3 linked regions of the Macaca fascicularis genome follow. The protein of the gene in region 1 purifies or fractionates together with the protein of each later gene. This does not show direct contact. Links are inferred from orthologs where the notes say so. Each region holds a gene or a part of one and is shown on either strand. Other genes may lie near its edges. The genes, in order: CCT6A, TLE2 and tubulin alpha-1C chain.

Region 1 (3,647 bases):
GAGTTACAGGAAACAGTCTCTGAAGATGTATAAGGGACAGGATTCGAGCTTAGTGAACTGTTAAATCTTAGGACTAAACCAGTTTCAGAAGCTACTTTCTTAGAATGTTTCCCTGTTTTCTGTAACCTTTTTTTTTTTCTTAATAGAGAAGTGAGTTCTGGCTTTTTTTACAAAAGTGCAGAAGAGAGAGAAAAACTCGTAAAAGCTGAAAGAAAATTCATTGAAGATAAAGTTAAAAAAATAATAGAACTGAAAAGGAAAGTCTGTGGTGATTCAGATAAAGGATTTGTTGTTATTAATCAAAAGGTGAGAATGAAAACCCAATGTATAAACTAAATAGTATGTATCATCCTTTTTGCTTTTAAGGTGAAAGATGTTGAAATTAATTTTTATTTTTGTTATAGGGAATTGACCCCTTTTCCTTAGATGCTCTTTCAAAAGAAGGCATAGTCGCTCTGCGCAGAGCTAAAAGGAGAAATATGGAGAGGTATCCGAGTAATTTGACTTTTACTCATTTTGCAAGTGAATTAGGATTATTTTTCCTTACAATTTATTTTCGGGTTTTTCAACTGTACAATGAATTGTCGTTAACTATATTCACATTGTGCACCCCGTCAGCACTGTCCATCTCTAGGACTTTCTTCATCATCACAAACTGAAACTGTATACCCATTAAATAATTACTCCCCATTTCTCCCTCCCCCTTGCCCCTTGTAAACATTATTTTACTTTTTGTCTCTGAATTCAGTATACTTTTTCCCAAAGAGCTCACCACAATAAGAAGCTTTTAAAAAATTTTTTTTATTTTATTGTTATTTTTTGAGACAGTCTTTCCGTGCTGTGCAATGGCATGATCTTGGTTCATTGCAACTTCCACTTCCTGGGTTCATAGGATTCTCAGCCTCCCGAGTAGCTGGGATTACAGGTGTCTGCCACCATGCTCACTGAATTGTTTTGTGTTTTTTTAGTAGAGATGGGATTTTGCTGTGTTAGCTAGGCTGTTCTCAAACTCCTGGCCTCAAGTGATCCGCCCACCTCAACCTCCCGAAGTGTTGGGATTACAGGTGTGAGCTACCATGCCTGGCTAATAAAGAGCTCTTGTCCACCTTTAGATTTCATTTGCTGACTTGGGGAGAGTGGTTTAAATGGAGGGTTAAGAGAAAATGCTAGTTTTCAGCTGGTTGATGGCAAATGGAAAGGCTTAGATTAAAGTACATTTTAAAATGTAATTTTGTGTGTAATTCTGGAAGATTCCTTCCTAAAAATTACTGGTCTTGTCTTTGAAATTCACTGGTAACATTGCTTATCCATCTCCCTTAAAATGCTATTTCAGGCTGACTCTTGCTTGTGGTGGGGTAGCCCTGAATTCTTTTGACGACCTAAGTCCTGACTGCTTGGGCCATGCAGGACTTGTGTATGAGTATACATTGGTAAGTGTATTTTCTTCTTCAAGGTAATAGAACCTTTTAGCTCATGAATTATTTTTGTTTGTGTGAGATGGGGTCTCACTCCTGCCCGGGCTGGAGTGCAGTGATGTGGTAACAGTTCACTGCAGCCTCATCTTCCTGGGTTCAAGTGATCCTCCCTCCTCAGGCTCCTGAGCAAATGGACCACAGACATGTGTGCTACCATGCCTGGCTAAATTTTTTTTTTTTTTTGGTAGTTTTTGTAGAAATAAGTTCATACTGTGTTGCCCAGGCTGGTCTTAAACTCCCGGGCTCAGGCTGTCCTTCACCCTCAGCCTCCCAAAGTGCTGAGATTACAGGCATGAGCCACTGTGTTCATGAAGTCTTGAGCAGAAAAATTAATTGAAATTCAGGATCAGATTTTTGTTTGGGGAAAATCCCATTTCTTTTATATGTGATTTTTCAAAAGGAGATAATTTGCTTTAATGTGATCAAGTTTATTCCTTATTAATATGCTGCTTGTCATTCTCTGTAAGTCCCTCTTCTGTCTTCACTCTCTGCACAAATCCTGTTTTTGAAAATCATATTTTTTCTACACATAGGGAGAAGAGAAGTTCACCTTTATTGAGAAATGTAACAACCCTCGTTCTGTCACATTATTGATCAAAGGACCAAACAAGCACACACTCACTCAGATCAAAGATGCAGTGAGGGATGGCTTGAGGGCTGTCAAAAATGCTATTGATGATGGTAAGATCCTCACTGTATTTCAATTCTATTATATTGTTTTGCTGGTCTGAAAGGCATGGCCGAATACTGTGTTCTTTTATCAGTAGTTTACACAGCCAGACACCATGCAAAAGCAGTCTTCCCTTTAGAATGACCAATGGTATGCTAAGGTTTTTCATAGCATATCATTATTAAAGGTGAATACAGATAAATGAAATAATACTGATCTGTTGAAAGAGCTGCCAGCGGCTAGTGAAGCCATTCTGTTGAAACATTCTCCTATTTGATATGTTAGTCGCTTGTATTTTGTCTTAGTAAATCTGTAAGAAATTAATGGCTTTCATATGTGTATTTTAGTTGTTGTTCATAATTAGTTCTGCAGTTTTCTTAGCATTTTTCCTTTTCCCCCATTCAACAGGCTGTGTGGTTCCAGGTGCTGGTGCTGTGGAAGTGGCAATGGCAGAAGCCCTGATTAAATATAAGCCCAGTGTAAAGGGCAGGGCACAGCTTGGAGTCCAAGCATTTGCTGATGCGTTGCTCATTATTCCCAAGGTGTGCACGCTTTTAACAGTCAATCTTCTAAAAGATTTAGCTGATCAAACCTTTTTGATAATGTAGGCTTTATTCATAATGTGGATTTTGGATAAGCCAAGTTTGATCAGTTTTCTTCCTGACTCTAGAACAGGTATTCCTCATCATCCAAATGTATTTGGTTTCTCTGGGAGGCCTGAATAACTGACGTTTCAGATAACAAGAGATAACCTGTAGTTTAATATTTGCAGTATTAGGGGTTATACTTGAGTACAAACTTGCTTTTTGCTTTTGTTTTAAACTGATACTATTTTCTATTATATACTAATTTTGAGGTATAATTTATGACTGGTATATTGCTGCTGGGTTTGAGGTAGATGAGAGAATTGATCAGTAACTTGTGTCTGGTTATTCTCTGAAGGAAGCATAAATGTTCTGTCTTCATGCAATGAGATTTTTTTGTTTGTTTGTTTTTTTGAGACGGAGTTTTGCTCTTATTGCCCAGGCTGGAGTGCAGTGGTGCGATCTCGGCTCACTGCAGCCTCAGCCTCTCAAGTAGCTGGGATTACAGGCACTTGCCACCACACCCAGCTAGGTTTTTGTGGGGTTTTTTTTTTTTTTTTTTTTTTTGTATTTTTAGTAGAGATGGGGTTCCACCATGTTGGCCAGGCTGGTCTCAAACTCCCGACTTCAGGTGATCCACCTGCCATGGCCTCCCAAAGTGCTGGGATTACAGGCATGAGCTACTGCACCAAGCTGAGATTTTCTTTTTCTTTTTTTTCTTATCTTTTTTTTTTTTTAAACAGTTATTCCTGTTTTCTCAAGAATTAAATTTGTTTACTTTAGGTTCTTGCTCAGAACTCTGGTTTTGACCTTCAGGAAACATTAGTTAAAATTCAAGCAGAACATTCAGAATCAGGTCAGCTTGTGGGTGTGGACCTGAACACAGGTAAGAGAATGCAACTGTTGTAGAGGGAAAAC
Region 2 (4,361 bases), on another chromosome or scaffold:
GAGGTCAATCTCAGAACCCTAGGTCTATCTCAGAACCTTGAGTTCTATCTCAGAACCCTGAGGTCTATCTCTGAACATTGAGGTCAATCTCTGAACCTTGAGGTCTATCTCTGAACCCTGAGGTCCATCTCAGAACCCGAAGTCAATTTCAGAAATTTGAGTCCATCTCAGAACCCTGAGGTCAATCTCAGAACCCTAGGTCTATCTCAGAACCTTGAGGTCTATCTCTGAACCTTGAGGTCAATCTCTGAATCTTGAGGTCTATCTCAGAACCCTCAGGTCAATTTCAGAAATTTGAGTCTATCTCAGAACCCTGAGGTCAATCTCAGAACCTTGAGGTCTATCTCAGAACCTTGAGGTCTACCTCAGAACCTTGGATCACACTGAGAAGCTCTGGAAGAGGCTCAGAGCCTTATGGCACTGGGGTCAGTCTCAAAGCCCTGAAGATAGCCACAGAGTTTTGAGGTCTGTCTTGGAAAAGTGGGGTCACAGTCTGAACCATGGCATCAAATTCAGGGCCTGGAGAACAATCTCGGAACCTTAGCCAATCACACTGAGACCAATCTCAGAAGCTTCAAAGCAGGAACAGAACCTGGAGTCCATCTCAAAACTTCAGACTCTCTGGGCTGAAAAGGACCTCGAAGAGTGTTCATCCAGCCCCCTCCCGGGACAGAAGTCACCTCCACAGCCTCCCTGGCCTGGCTGCCCTGCCTCTGCTATGTGCCCTCCTTGATGGGGATGCCTGGTGGCCCCTGCCCGCTGCCTGCCTCTCTGCTGGACGCTTCAACTGCTGGCTACTGTCTTCAGAAGTTGGGACTCATTTTCCTTCCATGAGGCTGAAATTTGCCTTCCTGGTCCCAGATAGGCCCTCTGTGACCTCTGAGGAGATTTCAGGATGAGACCCGTGTTCCCTAGGTCTGCTCTGGCCCCGGCTGCCCATACTGGGTCCCTCCCAGGGCTTCCAGACCCCCATCCTCCCTCCTGAACACGCTTAACACCAACCCAGTTACCTGCTTATGCATTTCAATGTTGAGACCATAAGACATCTCATAATACTGAAAAGGAAAAACCAAGTAAGAACCTCTGCAGTGGAGATGGGTGCCCTCCTCCAGTCAGGTGATGCCAGGGTCTTCCAAGAGCCCCCCAGGTTCGGGGGATCACAGCAGGACGCAGAGCACCCCCAGCTCCACGGGGTCTCAGAAGAGAAGCCCAGAGGAGAAAGCCGGGGTTCTGCCTGGAAGGGCCCCCTCTACTCTCCCCAGACAGGCAGGGCAGGTAGGAAGCGTCCAGAGGCCCTGGCCCCACCAGGCGAGAGGTCCTCCCTGTCTCCCTGTTCCCAGAGCTGGGTGGACCCTCCGAGAGAGAGACCCTGAAATCCCAAAGCCGCCCAATGTACAGACAGGAAAGACGAGGCTCGGAGAAGGGCAGGGACCTACCCCAGAGTCCACCGTGGCTCAAAGCCCTGCCCGCCTCTCCCCGCACCCTGGCATCATAAGTGCCCTCACCATGACATAATGTCGCTGCATTTCCGTCTTCTCACTGGCCAGCTTCTCACATTCTAGCTTGAGGCTGGGAAGGAGAGAGAGGGCAAGGGGCTCCCAACCGCCCCATGTGGGCCGGCTTCCAAAGTGAGGGGCTGGATCTCCCCCTCCCGACTTCCTTACAGACCTCCCAGCACCTCCTGTCCCAGTCCCTCCCCGCCCCTTCCTGGGCTCCCAATGCCCCAGCTCTGACTGTCCCCAGACCCCTCTGCACCTGCGCTTTCACCTGGAGGCCTTTCCCGCGCCCTGGGAGCCCCTCCTCCCCGCCCTGCTCCCCGGAGGCCCCGCCCCGCCCCGGCGCCCAGGTGAACTCCCGCGGCCCCTGGGGCGGCCCCCCCTCACCTGTGGTACTGAGCCTGGAGAAACTGGAATTCTTCTTTGATGCGGTCGCAGATCTCCAAGATAGAGAACTTGAAGGGCTGGCCGGACTGGAGCGGGGTCTGGGGGGGTTTGGGGAGGGACGTCAGGGTCTGAGTTCCAGGACACCGGGGACCCCCTCTCCGCAGCCCCCACTCACCGGGTGCCTTCCCTGGGGGTACATCCTGCCGATCCCGGAAGCCCTCCAAGCGCCACCAGAGCTTGATGATATGGAGGCGGCAAGAGTGGGGGAGGCTGAAGTGGGGTGGGGGGGAGGCTGCCCGAAGAAAGAGGGAGGAGGGAGAGGCGGCGCGGGGCAAGGGACCCTGGAGTCCCTGGCGCGCCCCCAAGCGCGCGCGCCCGGGGTCGTGGGAGCCCCTCCCCGGGCCGGGGCGCGCGGGGCGGGCGGGAGCAGCGGACGGGGCGGGGGCGCGGCGAGGGCGGCCGCGGCAGCCGGCGCAGAAGGTCGGGCGCGCCGCGGCCGGGTTTCGGCGGCGGCGGCGCGGGCGGCGGGCCCCGCGCGGAGCCGCCTCCCTCCGGCGGGGCTCGGCCGGGAGCCGCAGGCTGAGCCGCCTTAAGGTGGCGCGGCCGCCCCCACGCACCCGCGGCCCGCCCCGCGCCCACCCCCGCGCGCGCCGCCCCTCCCTGCGCCCGCGCGTCCGGGTCCCCGGGCACCCGCCCCCTTCCTTCAGTCCCTGGGCCTGTGGGGAAACTGAGGCCGAGTGGGGAGGCGCCCAGTGCCGCAAAACGGGGTCCCCACCCCCTCCCGGAGGGGCGGGAGGAGAAACACCAGTGAAGAAATTCACATGGTGTTACCCACCGTTGGGGGGGCTTGCGGAGGGCGGGGGCCCCTCTGGAGTCGGAAATAGCTTTTCTGAGCAAGTGACATTGGGCTGAGATGGAAGGGTCAGGACGACGCAGCCTTGCCAAGCGCTCGCAGGAAGCCCTGCCAGGAAGGGAATCTCACAGCAAACACTGCTTCCCAGATCAGGCGGGGCCCTCACCCTCTGGGGGCCTCAGTAGTCTCTGCAAAAGGTCAGGGATGGTGCGCGATCTTTAGTGTTTAATTTTTTGCAGAGACAGGGTCTCACTATGTTGCCCAGGCTGGAGTACAGTGGGGCGATCATGGCTCACCGCAGCCTCGAACTCCTGGGCTCAAGCGATCCTTCCCCCTCAGCTTCTCGAGTAGCTGGGACTACAGGTGTGCACCACCATGCCCAGCTAATTTTACAATTTTTTGCAGAGATGACCAGGAGCGTCTCACTATGTTGCCCAGGCTGGTCTTGAACTCCTGGACTCATTCCTCTCTCTTCCGCCTTCCAAAGTGCTGGGATTACAGGCGGGAGCCACGGCACTAGGTACTACACTTAAATGAAATGGTGCATGAACGCCCTCAGCATTTCCCTACACAGAGCAAACTTCCACAGATAGGAATTGTATTCCTACTGCCATCACCAGTGGACTGCGCTGTCTCCCTTCTCACACTGGGTTTCTTGAAGGCAGGGGCCATGTCCCACTTAGAACTGGAAGAACCACAGCTCTGCCATCAGACTCAAGTCTCACCCAGGGCAAAGGCTCCAGCCCCGACCAGAAACCACAGACATCCAGCCAGCATCCTTCAGGCCCACCTGGGGAGTGGGAAGCTCTTATTCTCTCTGGAGAAACCTCAGGAGAGGTTCGTTAAGTCAATCAACAAACATGTACTGAGTGCATACTGTGGACCACACACTGCAGTAGACACTGGGGCACAGCTGGAAACAGAACAGAGAAAAATCCATGCCCCTTGATCATGCTTGGACCTGTGCCCTTAGATGAACGAATACCTAAGGTACCTAAGGGTTAGGGTTACAAAAACCCATTTTGTAATGGGCACAAGAGCCTTATCAATGGGCCAGGTCAATGGGCCAGGAGTGGTGGGTCATGCCTGTAGCCCCAGCACTTTGGGAAGCTGAGGAGGGAGGATCGTGTGAGCCCAGGAGTTCAAGACCAGTGTGGACAACGCAGCGACAATACAAAATAAATGTTTGCATTTTTTGTATCTCTACCAAAAAAATGAAAAAATAATTAGCCAGGCATGGTGGTGCACACCTGTGGTCCCAGCTAGTTGGGGGGCTGAGGCGGGAGATACCTGAGCCCCAGGAGGTCGAGGCTGCGATGAGTAGAGATCACGTCACTGCACTCCAGCCTGGGTGACAGAACACGACCTTGTCTCAAAAAAAAAAAAAAAAAAAGCCCTTATCAAATTTAAAGCCATCGTTTTCCAGCCCACAGATATTTACGGAGCACCTACGACGTGCCAGGCATCCTTCCAGGCACTGGGATTTTAAGGGTGGATAAAGGAGACAGATCCCTGCCCTCTCTGAGTCTGTGGGATGTGAGTGACAGGCTAGGCAGGTTCACAGCTTGATAATTATGGGACTATTTGTATAGACAGAGGAAGAGTTTAGGGGGCAGTGATAGAAA
Region 3 (2,888 bases), on another chromosome or scaffold:
CCTACCAATTACACCCATTAAGCCTCCTGTGAACCCAGTAATGCTAAGGACAAATGCAATTATTTTGGCAGGCAATAAACCTCACTCCAGAACCCTAACTAGCTACTAGGTTTATTTGTCCCTAAAGGCAGGTCCTGATTTCCAAGTCAGTGCTTGTAACTAAAGCTTAGTTTTTAAGCATAGGAAACATCAGTCCAGTTTTTCTGGGAAGACTACGTAAACATTTGAGGAAAGTATGAAGCCATGAATGATGAGGCCATTCTTTTTTTTAGAATGGAGCAGTCATGGCTGGGCTTAATACAATGTGATTTTCTTGACAAGTTACTCTGCCCAGGCCATCATGCTTGATCTCTGGTTAATTACTTACAAGCTGCCCACATGCCTAAGGAGCAAAGAGTCATCTGATTGCCAGGCTCTTAAAGTGATCCAAACAGCACACTTCATAAGGAAGCTCCCGACTCCACTTTCAGCTGTACTGGAAGTTTCCACTGTTGGCTGTTTCTTGTCAGTGTGACACTGGCTTCTTGTTCTCTGAACTTTATTGACATGAAGGAACCAGTCCAGATTTTTTAAGTGACTTTAATCAATTAGTTGTATATAGAAGTCAGCCACCTACTCACTCAGTGTGACTAAGATGACCTCAAAAGGGGTGTCTCAGCTTGAATCAAAATAGGCTAATGAGCACTTCCTCCTACCCCATAGTTATCCCATAAACCCAAGACCATCTGGTTCAGAGATCCAATTAATTTAGTGAGCAGTCGCATTTTAGTTGCAATGCCAATAGTCTCATTTCAGTTGCAAAGAATGATTTTTGTAGTTTGGTCTCAGAACCACAAAAGAAACTCTTGCCCCACTTTATTTACCAGCTTGCGAATTCGGTCCAACACGAGGTCAATGATCTCCTTGCCAATGGTGTAGTGCCCTCGGGCATAGTTATTGGCAGCATCTTCCTTGCCTGTGATGAGTTGCTCAGGGTGGAAGAGCTGACGGTAGGTGCCAGTGCGAACTTCATCTGGAGAAGATGACGGTGAGGAGCAGGGGAGAAGGAAAGAGTGGGTGAGTGGGTGACTAGCGGAGCCCCCAGGACAGACCTCCTGTCCCAGCACCCTGGGATCTCACTTCGGTTACTGAGGTCAACTCACCAATGACAGTAGGTTCTAGGTCTACAAACACGGCCCGGGGCACATGCTTGCCAGCGCCCGTCTCACTGAAGAAGGTGTTGAAGGAATCATCTCCTCCCCCAATGGTCTTGTCACTTGGCATCTGGCCATCAGGCTGGATGCCATGTTCCAGGCAGTAGAGCTCCCAGCAGGCATTGCCAATCTGGACACCAGCCTGGCCAACATGGATGGAGATGCACTCACGCTGTGGGAGGAAGAAAGGAAAATGTCAGGATATGATACATCAGATGGGACATTTAGGAATGATTCACACCTAATGACTGATTAACCTTCAAGACAGATAACTGGCTGGGCGCAGTGACTCACGCCTGTAATCCCAGTACTTTGGGAGGCTGAGGCAGGTGATCACCTGAGGTCAGGAGTTCGAGACCTGCCTGGCCAACATGGCAAAACTGTGTCTCTACTAAAAATACAAAAAAAAAATTAGCCGGGCATAGTGGCACACACCTGTAAGTCCCAGCTACTTGGGAGACTGAGGCAGGAGAATCACTTGAACCCAGGAGGTGGAGGCTGCAATGAGCTGAGATCACACCACTGCCCTCCAGCCTGAGTGACAGAGATTCCATCTCAAACAAAAAAAGATAACCATTTTTCAGCAGGCCACTCCTGCTCAGGGACTACTTTCAAAAGTAAAAATTTTTGAAGACCTAATTCAGCAAAAATGCCTTGGAAAACCAAAGATATGTTCATGAACTACTCGGCAAGACCAGACCGTTGCTTTGTAGCCACAGTAGATATGATTCCTTAAACTAAGGCAAAATTCCCCTTTCCAGCTCTGATTCATTCTCTGAATGATTGTGTAACTACTGAGCTCATTCTGGTCCTGCTTTAATCCTATTCTTTGGGAGACAAAAGCTTCTGCCTCCCTCCTTTAAAACCAGCTTAAACCAGCAAACTACAGCCATATGACTCATGAAGAAAATGCTGGATAAGCAGCAGTTAGCTGTATTTTAAAAACTGTGGTCAGAGGCAGCTTTTTAACCATGCAGAAGAATCTGTTAGGAAGAACATTTTTCCTTCACCATCAAAACATCTCCGGGAGAGGGAAGACCATAATAATAAAGGCTAGAAATGTTACCAAGACTTTACTGATAGGTTAAGAAATCAGTTGTTTCTGGCCAGGTGCTGGCTTACACCAGTAATCCCAGCACTTTGGGAGGCCAAGGTGGGCGGATCACCTGAGGTCAGGAGTTCAAGACCAGCCTGGCCACATGCTGAAACCCCGTCTCTACTAAAAATACGGGAATTAGCCGGGCGCGGTGGCTCAAGCCTGTAATCCCAGCACTTTGGGAGGCCGAGACGGGCGGATCACCAGGTCAGGAGATCGAGACCATCCTGGCTAACACGGTGAAACCCCATCTCTACTAAAATACGAAAAACTAGCCGGGCGTGGTGGCGGGCGCCTGTAGTCCCAGCCACTCGGGAGGCTGAGGCAGGAGAATGGCGTGAACCCGGGAGGCAGAGCTTGCAGTGAGCTGAGATCCAGCCACTGCACTCCAGCCTGGGCGACAGAGCAAGACTCCGTCTCCAAAAAAAAAAAAAAGAAAAAATACGAGAATTATCCAGGCACGGTGGTGTGCGCCTATAGGTCCCAGCTACTTGGGGTAAGCTGAGGCATGAGAATCACCTGAACCCAAACCCAGGAGGCGGCGACTGCAGAGATCTCACCACTGCACTTCAGCCTGGGAAACAGCCAAGACTCAGTCA

What was found.
Region 2: the proteins of CCT6A (region 1) and TLE2 purify together in Homo sapiens (affinity purification with mass spectrometry; 3 studies listed by BioGRID and IntAct, with this or other methods). This does not show direct contact. The link is inferred for Macaca fascicularis from reciprocal best matches to the Homo sapiens genes CCT6A and TLE2.
Region 3: the proteins of CCT6A (region 1) and tubulin alpha-1C chain purify together in Homo sapiens (affinity purification with mass spectrometry; 3 studies listed by BioGRID and IntAct, with this or other methods). This does not show direct contact. The link is inferred for Macaca fascicularis from reciprocal best matches to the Homo sapiens genes CCT6A and TUBA1C.

What each region holds. Positions count from the first base shown.
Region 1 is NC_088377.1:74,153,672-74,157,318, forward strand, and holds part of CCT6A (T-complex protein 1 subunit zeta), read left to right. Parts: intron 1-146; coding exon 147-306; intron 307-404; coding exon 405-487; intron 488-1,333; coding exon 1,334-1,430; intron 1,431-2,008; coding exon 2,009-2,156; intron 2,157-2,209; exon of another isoform or gene 2,210-2,344; intron 2,345-2,553; coding exon 2,554-2,687; intron 2,688-3,512; coding exon 3,513-3,615; intron 3,616-3,647. UniProt on the Homo sapiens protein: Component of the chaperonin-containing T-complex (TRiC), a molecular chaperone complex that assists the folding of actin, tubulin and other proteins upon ATP hydrolysis.
Region 2 is NC_088393.1:3,729,693-3,734,053, forward strand, and holds the start of TLE2 (transducin-like enhancer protein 2), read right to left. Parts: upstream 2,847-4,361; 5' UTR 2,719-2,846; intron 2,451-2,718; exon of another isoform or gene 2,120-2,450; 5' UTR 2,083-2,119; coding exon 2,059-2,082; intron 1,982-2,058; coding exon 1,884-1,981; intron 1,570-1,883; coding exon 1,506-1,569; intron 1,056-1,505; coding exon 1,011-1,055; intron 1-1,010.
Region 3 is NC_088385.1:56,088,180-56,091,067, reverse strand, and holds part of tubulin alpha-1C chain, read right to left. Parts: intron 1,366-2,888; coding exon 1,143-1,365; intron 1,013-1,142; coding exon 864-1,012; intron 1-863. UniProt on the Homo sapiens protein: Tubulin is the major constituent of microtubules, a cylinder consisting of laterally associated linear protofilaments composed of alpha- and beta-tubulin heterodimers.